Linked DNA regions of Neodiprion lecontei. The protein of the gene in region 2 interacts with the protein of the main gene of each other region in a pairwise test. Links are inferred from orthologs where the notes say so. Each region holds a gene or a part of one and is shown on either strand. Other genes may lie near its edges.

Region 1 (5,252 bases), on a different chromosome or scaffold from region 2:
CAACCAATTTACTTCAAATTTTAAGGCACTATTCTTCCGTACTTTAGGATCTTTGACATGCTCCCAAGTTTTTTTTTTTTGTTTTTCATTTTTTGGTTTTTTTTTGCCAGTGGAATACAAAAAAAAAAACCTAAAATTTTTACAGAACATCAAAACTCATCATTAACTAGTAACTTTTTTTTTTTTTTTTTTTTTTTTTTAACTCGGACCATAGCAATGGGGATCAACGTTTCAAAAATACTTTCTTCAATTTTTAACTGTTTTTGGGACATCGAAAAACATGTAATCGAGCATAATTATTGACGTTATTGTTATTAAAAGTGCTTCCTATTAATCGATTCTAATAAAGAATAAAAATGTAAATGAATGTCAATCTACATACTTTTGAGTAAAATAAATCCCAATCCTAACAAATGATTAGCTTTGGAGGTATAAATCCCCAAAAGTCACCCATTTTTTCAGCTGTATACACATATTTTAAAACCCCTTAATAAGTTTTGTCGAACTTTTGCAGTGAGGTGCCATTAGAAGTGACAGTGGTAGGATGTGTTTAGCTAAATGCAGAAGAGTAATAAACTGACTTGTGATCATGGCTAAGAAATTCGACGCAACGTGGAACAATGCCTTGGCGAATCAGGGTATCAATCGGAGGCTTTTTCTCTCTGCTCAACATCTTGCGACAGGCCTGCGTAGCCTGAAGTTGAGTAGGCTCATCACTGGAATTCATTCCAGTAATAATTTCCTCAGTACTCAGATTGATTGGAACTGCTGTCTCATTCTCCCCTGGGGGGCTCTGGGGCTCACACCCAACACTGATGTTCCGACGTTTCAATAACTGATCATCTCTTCTAGCCTTGCGCAGCTCAACCGAAACCTCGTTCCTCCTCCTTCTGACATCCTTGATTAAATAGATAACAATTTGTACAGTTATAAACTTGCCCGATACGAGTAAATATCAAAATAGAAGTCAAGTAAACTTTTTTTAATTTCTGCATAATTTGATGATATCCACTGAGATGGTGATTGCAAAGATGGACTGAATAGATGACATCTGTTACATTGAATACTTTAACTTCCACAAATTGATCAACGGTATAAAATTGATATTAAAAATTATCCAAGTTCTCTTGCTAGTTTATGATATAAAAAAGGTACGATTTGTGTAAAAAATATGATATAATATTTGGTAAGAATTTGCATAAACATACTTTTTGAATGGTTTATTTTGAAATCTTCGATGTCAATAGAGTGAACACTCAACCATGAGCATGCCAATAACTTTGTAGAGCCAGGTGTTCAAGGGATTAGTCGGAAGTTGGGTGTATTTTGAAAACAGGTTTATAACTAAGCATGTGAATGAATACATGTCTATATAGGAAATTACATATAGATTTACAGTATTGGGTGACTGGGTGATTAGCTGCTGAATTTTATTTCATTTTTAATTGATAAAAAACCTTCTTTTTTGTAATGATTTAAAGATTCCATTTAATCAGTAAATTTGAAGTCATCACAGACTTTCTTTCAAATCATTCCTGTTGGACAGTACTGTCTGGTATTAATTAATGACTACAGTGTTACATATTGATCAGTCACTATTAGACTAGTACGAATTTTGTTTCAGACGTTTATCAATATGTTTGGAAGAAACTGATGGTAAATTATTTGTCGATACATTAGGGTTCAATATTCTAAGATAACAAAGAAAAAATGGATTCAAATGATATTGAAAATCTGGCACGTATGGGTTGAATAAGTACCAAAGATAAATGTTATTGAATTGCAGAAAAAATGGATGGGTAAAGAATAGCAATTATCATATGGAATTAAATTAATATGGTTTTTTATACACATTCACATAATTTTCTTAGTGACTAAAATCATTTGAGTTTATATACAGCAGGATTAAGTTAGTTCCCGCAGACTGACTTCAATGTATAGCTGAAATCTTTATAACTTCTATCGGATGGGTTTGCAAAATTTACAGTATTTTCAAAGACGACAGAATGGCAATTACTTGATATGATCAAATACGACGATACCTTTTGTAGAAGTGCTTTGCCATCGTTGTGTATGATGCCAAATTCTCACTAGGATCTTTCATATTCAATTATACAACACAGCTTAGTGAAATTCATTTCCCTTGAATTTTTAATATCATAAATAGCTTTGGATTAAAACTGTTATGACGTTAGAAACAAAGGTAAATAAATTTTTACTGGCCGTGTAATTTTTAAATTTGGAATATATCGAGGAATCAGCCATAAGGGTAGCAAAGATTTTCTAAGTACATCTATTTTTTTTAACGAGATTCGTTTTTTAAGAACATGAGGGAGTACAGAACAAAGAAAAAATGTTGGAATTGTACAACACAGAGACGACTGGTCCAGGGAAGCAGAATATTTCCAGTAAAAGTGAATCTGGTTGTCTGGATGGAAATGAAAATGAAGAAAAGACAAATCTGAGAGACAACTTTTTTGAATAATAAAATGAATGCGATACAAATAATTGCAAAATATACGTACTTCATGCTTGTTGTGGTTCTTGAATTTGGACAATCGACCGGATCCGTTTTCCTCTGGGGTCGGCATTGTCTGGAAGATGAGATGTTAGAAATACATAAGAAATCCTATCTTCAAAAGAGTTGTAAAATTGGTGAGGAAAAAGAAAAGTAACGGTTGCACGCGTGTCGATCCGTGTTGATCTTGTTTTTGAAAGAAACGTTACAACCCCGAATTCGCGGATCGACAAAATAACCCAAATGGATTGCAAAAGATTTAAGTAAGAAGAATATAATCCTTACACGGGGGAAGAATACGATGCACGTTGAATTATTTTGAAATATTCTTAAATCGCGATCCCGCGCGAAAGTAAGCGATCGTTTGTCAAGCGATGGCCGACTCCACTCGACTCGGGCTTCAGAGATTTGAAGATTCAGATTTCTGTTTGGACCTGTTGCGCCGTTAACCGAATGCCGGATTTGCATCACTGTAACAGGGTTGCCAGATAAATAGTACCGCAAGTTGCCATAAGGTGCGTTCCGATAGCTTCCACCAAGGTCCCTAGATGAGACAGGTCAAGGCACACGTAGGTAAAAAAATTAGTCAGAATGCGCCAAAAGTTTCGTATGACAATGGATGCTATTCATTTAGAGCACAATACGACACGGTGTAAACATTTCTGCTCTATTTCTTTGCCCGGATTGGCCGCTAACAATAGAAATTTGTATACTGTGTCACACTGTGCTCTAAATGGAAAGCACTAAGTGTGGTTCTGATTCCTGACCTGTCACAATCATTAACCTCATAATATATACGTGCTTCTATTTATTTCGTGAACGTCAGGACACTAAGGGCGCAACTCGTTAATGCTTAACCTCAAAAAATTGAGCATGATTGGTCAAAACTGGTTAATGCGGGAATATGTAAGTTTGAAATTTTGTGGGCGAACGCGCATACAACTTTTTTGCCCACGTTATAGTGAGAAAAACTGGAACACGCGTGTCTTGACCTATCTAATCTAGGGACCTTGGCTTCCCAGTTAACAATCATTTATCTCTTTTGCGCTGCTGGGGTTCTTGAGTAGCTGTGCCTCTGTCCTAGGGAGTTTTTAGCGTTGCCTATTTATTTCAGAACGCACCCAAAAGCAGGCGCACTATACTCACACCGCGGGCGCACATGTAGACAATGTAGCCAACCTCCCAATCGTGGAGTCTTTGCAAGGAGCACGAACGCAAATGTGTAAGTACCGTGCTTGTCATAGTCGTTCAAGTAGGATTATTTTTTGTACATATATACCATCAAGTATTATTGAAATCATTTTGTTTTTCCATTCAATCGATTCTTCGTTTGTCATAATATTGTTTCCTATTGCTTTATATTATCAGTTCTATAGTGTTATAATGAATGTGGAACTTTTTGGAAAAGTTGTATGAAGGGTAAAAGTGATAAAAATTTTTCAAATTTTGCCGTATAGAAACATACAGTAATACGTACGGGGCATCGCAATTTTCCATGTCCATCATTTGAATATGAAGTCCTGTAAATTCCAGATTTTTTCATCAAGCCATTTCCAAGATATCGATCCAGTTTGTCAAACATAAAAACTTAAATTTGCTCTTAGACACAATCAACAGATTATGAATTTGATTTTATTAAACTAGATATCATAAGTTATTCAATACATGTATAAATGCAGTCCATAATTATTATCCGAGAATGGCAAAAACCAAGCTTTTTAAGAAATATTAAATAACAGAAATCTTTTCTTAATTTAATTTATAATGAGTAAGATATCATGATAATCCTAACTATTTCAAGAAGTCTTATATATCAGGATATTTTATACGACCACTCGAGCTTCCAAAATTACTGGATACCCTTTGCAGCTCACATAATTGGTTAGTTCATTTACATTTTATCATTTGTGTATACAATAATTTCTCATGCCTGAGCATATTACTCATGATATTGTTACATTTGGACACATAAATTGTAGTTCACGTAATGCATGTTCCTATTGTCTTCTTGACGGCATCACGGGCATATGGTATATATGAAAGGGAATACCATGTCATTGCCAGTGACTGTATGATTATAAATATGAGGGCTAATCCAGCTTTATGGAACTGCAAATAAAACATAATACAGTTATTGAAAAATAAAAAAATAAAACAACAAAATTGGTAATAGAGTAAATACATTCAACCATTAACGTAAGGTAATCGCCCATACAAATTTATTTGTAGGAAATGTAAAATATTAAATCAATGACATAAGAATTGGAAAACACAATTTTGTATGCATTGAAGCAATGAAGATCATTGCTCCTGAAATTTAGTAGAACCAAAAATAGCAATTATACTTGTTTGCATATTTTAAAGGGATTTACAATGTTTCTTATTCTTTGTCACTTACCGCAAGAGCTGATGTCAAGGTCATTACAATGGAGAAAAACACGAGTATCGTTGCTATAACTCTTGTAGCGGCAAACATTTTTTTAACTTGATTAACTGGCCCCATAAGGAAACAAGTGCTGTTGTGTACAAACAAGAATAAAATTACTGATTTCGAGCATGTTTCGAGTGAGAAAAACACGAGTATCTTTGCTATAACTCCTGTAGAGGCAAACATTTTTTTAACTTTATTAACTGGCCCCATAAGGAAACAAGTGCTTTTGTGTACAAACAAGAATAAAATTACTGATTTCGAGCGTGTTTGGTTTTTCACATAAAACTGTATTAATTTATATTA
Region 2 (6,541 bases):
ATTTTGAACTAACGTGGTGTAAGCATTGTCTACACCTTACACGGAATGATTCTTCTGATCTTTCTGCAATAATCAATATTTTCTTGACATTATCAGCAAAAATTTTTACTCAAGTCATTTACTTTGAATTAAATGTCTACATAATATATCTAGTATCTTATTGTGTACTTTATAGAGGTGTAAAGTGGTGTGATAAATGCAATGGCAAACATTGTTGCCCGTTGCAAAATTTTGTATGCATCACTTCGGTAAAAATAGAAAAGATCTTTTTTTTTTTTCGTCCGTATTTCTGCACCACTGCTAACGTTCAATTACACAGTTAATACTTGCGTTGAAAATAATTATGTATTTACTTACAATTACAAATATATATCTTAGGATTAAAACATTTAGTAATAATATTAAATAGTAAAAGAAAAATATTATGAAAAAATTGTAACTAGAAGAATGTTGTGTTGAATACTTGAGACGATTGAAAATATTTAATTACTATTATACACGTTCATACCCTAATAATAAATGGAGAAATTAATATTTTACGGAAATTAAAAGGTATGAGGAAATGTAGAATATTACGAGTTGCATATATTATACAGGCGCTATAAATTGTATCTAAAATAATAGATGAAACATAATTTGAGATGGAGACGTTCTAAACAGATTTATATATCCCTGAATTGTTGCTTTTTGAGGGAAAGGATACTCAATGTAATTCAACTACATGTAGCGGTATAATTTCAGATGCTTTATTTATATACAGTTAATTATTTAACATGGGGATTATGTAACAGTGTACTTTTATTCGTATCAAAGTATCGTGGAAACTCACTATAATTCATTTTATTCCCGTAATATTTATTTCAACACAAGTAAAAAGTAAAATTTTACGGAATAAAGGCTAATAATAAATTCACAGCAACGCGCATCTAAGACTTTAATACAAAAAAGTTGACCTAAAGTATTTTGAATATCCGATGTATTACTGGTCAATGATGAGAGTTTATTCGTTTCAATTTTTGTTCAACTGACGGTCGCGTATCATCGTTGGTTACTCATCTGTCTGAAAGAGTTAATTATATTTTCGATTAGTACTAACAGATACAGACGTTGTAATGTTCGGTCACATGCATTACTAGATCCATTTGCATTTACGTTAACACGTCATCACCCACGATACGACACTATTGTCGATAATAGAGCATAGAATCCATTTTACATAGATTCATTTTCTGTCTCTGATAACTTAAGTAAGTTACTATTTCTTATCGCCACTTAAAAAAATTTCTTATCTACAGTAACAATTTGGAGGAAGTGTCGGTAAAATTTTTTTTGCAGTATTTATAATACCAAGACTAAACGATCTCATATATAAAAGTGGCTTTTATTCTTTCTAAAATCAAATGAGGTGAACAGGGAGTATTCCTGTAATGAGTTTAGCAGAAACCACTTATTTGTGTATAACTCATCAACATATAAACGCGTCCGAGTTCAATTTGTTCCGAATGCGTATTCGCGTGATTTATTTGAAGCTTGAATTCGTTTGTTGCAATATTCCAATTATTGATCACGATTGTGATCATTGTGTAAATGTAAAACTGACGAGACTGTATTCTACTTGCGTATTATTATCTATATCAATAGTACTAAGCTGTAAATGTCGTACATTAACATTTATATAGCATCTTTAGTTTCTGATAAGAAACATGTACACATTCACGATTGTTTTGCTTTCATTCAAGAATTGACATCTGCCATAATGACTTATGGATTGATATCCGTTGAACAATGGTCGGTGGGCATGATTAAAAAAATCATTTCTTGTGCTTATTAAGCTTTTCTAACAACGCATCGGCGTCCTCGCTTGTCTTAACTCTTAACAAAACTGGTGTCGGTGGTGGTTTGGAATCTGGTGTTGGAAGAAGAACCATCATAACGTTATTCTTTCCCATACGCTGCATTGGTATGCCCTCGGTTAATATTGTATTCAAGAGTAAATTTCCGCACGAAGTATCGGCACGCACTATTAGCTGTGTTTTGTCGTTGGGTGTAGGCTTCAGAAACAGGGTACCTACTCCTCGATCAGCAAAATTTCCATCTTTTTTGACAAATACCTTGCATCTGCGAAAAGCAATTTATATCCCATAAATTTCATCTGCCATTGAATATCGTGCTAGTGTAGTGAACAAATATTCACTAGAACATAGTACGTAACAAACATATTTAGGTAAATTTCATATAAAACAGATAAATAAGAATCGCATGTTCCTTTCAACTGTCTTACCGTTGTTCATAAATTGCATCGTCTTCCGTGATTGGTTTGAAGTCTGGTTTCGGTGGTTCGTCATCATCATCTTTTTCTTCATCTTCTTTAGTCTCTTCTGCTTCTGTAGTTTTAGCCACATTGCCAAAAGAAAATGGTTTTCCACTGTAAGGAGATATATAGATACAATTACAAAAAGAAGGCTGATAATGTTTCAATATTTCGTGAATATATGGGTAGAAAAACATGAAAACGGAATATGAAACTCATCGTAACAACCAATAAAAAATTTACTCCCGGAAAGAGGACGTACCCTCCGAAACTGAATCCTGCCGAAGCTGTACTGGTTGCTGAACTTTGGCCAAAGCTGAATGTGGCTGTGGGACCAGATGGTGGACACGAAAGACTTGCTGTTGGTTTCTGATCAGTAATGTCAGATTCGGTTTCCTTTTTCTTATCTTCTACAGCTGTAAATGATGTACTTAAAAATGGATTCCGTTCAGTGGAAACACTGCCAAAAACGCTTTTGACTTCCGAGGTAGTTTCAGTATTCCCGAATAACGATTTTCCAACATTCACATTCTTGAAAATCGATGATTCGCTTTTCGACTCTGCATTTCCCACTGATGGATTACTAAAGACCGACTTCTTAGTCTGTGATTCAGTCTTTCCAGTTTCCAAATTCGACTTACTCTTAACGGGTGAACTTTCCAAGTTAGATTTTTCCCCAGTCTTTTCTGGGCTCAAAATTGTCGGGGTGGTTTCCTGTCCGTGTTTAGCTTCAATTTCTTTAAGATGCTTGTCATAATCTTTAAATATTGGGGTTAAAATACAAAACGGATTTGAATCTACGTGTGACTTGATCCATTGAGTGACGCTTTCGTTAAGTCCCTTCAATTTTGCATAATAATCTGTTGATTTTTTGAAAATCTTCCCATCTTCCTTTCCAGTTGGAAAATGCTTAGCATCCGAATTTTTCGACATTGATTCCTGTTTCAACGAAGAAGAATCTTTGCTTTCTGGCCCATTCGCTGCTGGGTTAACCGATCCATTGCTCGAACCTACTTTATTAGCTACCGTTTTTTCACTACTCTTCGTATTTGTTGCATTACTAGTATTTGCAAGGAAGCTAAAGGGTGAAGAACCGGCAGGTGCAGCAGTTTTGAAAGCAGTAAACGCGCCAAACGCTGCTTTTGGTGCATCCTGAAACAGTTTGAAATATTACGAGATACAATCAACTTCGGACAACAAAAAAGCAATGCGCTTTGGTGCTAGGGATCTTTGTATTTTTCAGCAATGTTTCCAAACTTACATCCCCTCCGCTGTTGACTATTCGCCGTCTGGCCGATTTGATGACTCTTCTCTGCAAATCTTCTTTCGATGCTTTGCTAAACGTTCCTGCCTCTTCCCGAGTTTCTTCATCGTTCCAATTATCGTGATTCAGCTCTGAGGTAGCAGTTCGTTTGCCAGCCATCACTGAGCGGTCTAAAATCAGAATGATTTTTTCAGTTTTAATTTCAGACAGGCTGTGGTAATCGATTTGCATTTAATCAACAAATTATCAGAGCAATATTTCAATTCCCGAGGATAGAAGGACTATCGTGTCGTAAGAATTTAGGTATTAATCCAGTTAGGCGCTTATCTCTTACGAAACATTTAGCAATTGCGATAAGCATTAGGATTTTGAAATTGTCGAAGAGCGAATATGCGATCTGAATATAACAGCGGGTTTACGGTGAAGTTGACATGGCAATGCAAGTACATAGTAACAGTCGATTCAATACTGTTTCGAGGTTATGAAAAGGATTCGGTCGAAATAGAATTGGATCAATTTCGGCCGTTACCCGCTTAAACAGTTTCAACATAACGCCATTCAATGTGATTTCCGTAACAAATAAAAACCAGCAGTCGATCGATATGAAATTGGAGTGCGAGTAAAAAAAAAGTACACATTTATAGGTTAACCGCCACTCGATCGGGAGTATATTCGAAAGTGGCAATTGTCAATTCATTGCAACGATACAGCGTCGAGAATCGCTAGCGTACCTGAGTTTTGATAAACGGTATGCAATCTGTCGATGAAAAGTCCACGTTAACCGCGTTAGTGTCTATTTGTACGATAATATCTCGCGAAACATGAGTGATAAATCGCAAGTAAATGTTCCGCGCTAAACTGGCGCGTTAGACTTTTTGCCTTTTGATGAAAAAAAAATGTCAACTCGGGGCCGGCTGGGCTGGCCGGCAATCGTAGTTGGTCGTGTAGTGTCTGTGAAGGGCCGAAGGGGGGATGAAAATTCGGGAGTTGTGGACCAGGCCGTTGTCACGACGAGGGCGCCACGATCATTCGGCAGGCATCAACCACACACCCCTGCGCGCTCTTATTATTGGGAAAACATCTGCCGCTGCGTCGGAAAATCTCTTTTAAATGGCCGAGATTTAATTGAAACTGAGTTGAAATATCGTGTAACACAACGGGGGTAGGTTGTCCGATAAACAAGCTAAATGTTTACACCGGTAGACCGGTCGGTATTTTCCCAAATTAACCGCAACTTAGATGGAAAATAGCTTTGGCAATACCGAAAGGGGGGTTAACGCAAGTTGCTCGGTGTGTCGTGTGTCTGTCGTCGTCGTTGTGCCCGCGTCGGTGAAAACCTACACACGGCCCCGTCAAATATCCGACTTGTGCGGATGGTCAATTGTTTGTGGTGGTGGGTGAATCGGGCAAGTGCCGTGGTGCGCGCCGTGCCGAGGAGCCGAGAGGAGAGAGATATTGCTTCGCTCTATTTTGTGAATAATTATATCTGTTGAGAGAAAATTCAACTCAACTGGTGTCGTCGTTGAAACGCGGTGCCGATAACGAAGCGAATTCGTCAACTTCGGAATAACTCGAGTCCAACTTCCAGGCCCGACTATGGAGATATCGAAAAGTTTGCAGGATGAGATACACTCCGTGCAAAACAAGCTCAAATACGCCATACAAAATCATCAGGCAAGTAATTTCCTCCTCGTTGTTTGTCCGTCGACGGACTTTTAATACCTGCATCGTACAACCTGACGCGCGTTTCTTGTGCAGTTACATGTACCGTACACGCATGTATCACCGTAGGCTTCCTGCATCATTTACACACTGTTACACTCTCGGAGCGCAGCGACGACGAGGGGAAAGGGGGCTTAGAGATGATGCTAAAACTTTCGACGAGTGCGATCAAGCCGTGCAGCGCGATTGACTTTTTCGATCCCAATTAATTTTCCGATCACATTCACGCGGTTGTCGGATTTAAGAGGAGAATTTACCCAAGGAAAAATCAGCGCGATAGAGATACAAGTTGTTCGATATCGACGTAACTTGTGCGCCTAATTTCGCGTGCAGTTTAACCGCTGCAATTATACCGCAACATCGCTATAAATTTTGTCGGATATATCGAGCCAAACCAACGATAAGTCTACGTCTCCACGCACAGTTTTTCAGGTGCGACGTATAAAATAGCGTGTATTTCTCGCTATCGTCGGTGTGTTTTTTTTTTATCGTCAGTTTGATACTTCAATTAACCAAGGTCGCCGCTGTGGCCGTATATTGTCGACGCGTCGTTACGTTTTGTATGATTTACGATACAGGCATAGTTATTTCCACGTCTTATTTCGACGATCTCTGTCACATCTCCGCGTCGTTACGTTTGCATTTCACGTGATAATTCGTCGATCTTCACCCGCAGCTGCAACATCGTTACCCACAAATCGCACACAACGTGTCCGCTTTCTTTCTTTCATCGTCAAATTGACAAATAATATAAGTTTCGGTATTAGTTATTGTTGCGCGAGTATCAAACTACTCGAGTAGTATTAAACTTACTCCGTTGCTCGTGTCGTGTTCTTCTTTACCAATTGAAAGCAGCGCGCAACATGTCGCGCGCGACTTTTTCACCCGCACAAGAGTTAAAAATCTTACCTAAGAAGTCACGCGAGGTAACCTCGCGTAACATAAAAACTTTCCGCCACTTTTTTACTTCCGCTTTTCGCTTCGCATTATTTCCCAAGTTTACACGTTACAACTTTAAACCGCTGTGAAACTTTTATTATCATCCCCCTCCCCCCCCCCCCATCGTTATAAATATACACACGCTGTTGCGTGTACTGCATGTAGTAGTTTTCAATCGACGGAAAATTCTCCCGCGTTATCTTCGTAAGAATTAACGTCTCACTTAGCATCGTTGAATATTCGAGCAACGTATCGTATGTACAACCAAATCTTATGCCTTGGTTTGTACGTATATGCGTACTGCG

The links.
Region 1: the proteins of nuclear pore complex protein Nup50 (region 2) and importin subunit alpha interact in a two-hybrid assay, tested with the Drosophila melanogaster proteins (2 studies listed by BioGRID). The link is inferred for Neodiprion lecontei from reciprocal best matches to the Drosophila melanogaster genes Nup50 and Pen.

The regions. Positions count from the first base shown.
Region 1 is NC_060266.1:18,041,342-18,046,593, forward strand, and holds the start of importin subunit alpha, read right to left. Parts: upstream 3,002-5,252; 5' UTR 2,987-3,001; coding exon 2,804-2,986; intron 2,595-2,803; coding exon 2,526-2,594; intron 972-2,525; exon of another isoform or gene 899-971; coding exon 582-898; exon of another isoform or gene 515-581; intron 1-514. Other genes in the region: vesicle transport protein SFT2B, read right to left, coding at 4,499-4,627, 4,917-5,034. UniProt on the Drosophila melanogaster protein: Binds specifically and directly to substrates containing either a simple or bipartite NLS motif. Promotes docking of import substrates to the nuclear envelope. Seems to act as a cytosolic receptor for both simple and bipartite NLS motifs.
Region 2 is NC_060265.1:9,405,885-9,412,425, reverse strand, and holds nuclear pore complex protein Nup50, read right to left. Parts: upstream 4,537-6,541; 5' UTR 4,307-4,536; intron 3,746-4,306; 5' UTR 3,735-3,745; coding exon 3,573-3,734; intron 3,464-3,572; coding exon 2,574-3,463; intron 2,426-2,573; coding exon 2,282-2,425; intron 2,119-2,281; coding exon 1,812-2,118; 3' UTR 731-1,811; downstream 1-730. Other genes in the region: uncharacterized protein LOC107217553, read left to right, coding at 5,172-5,249.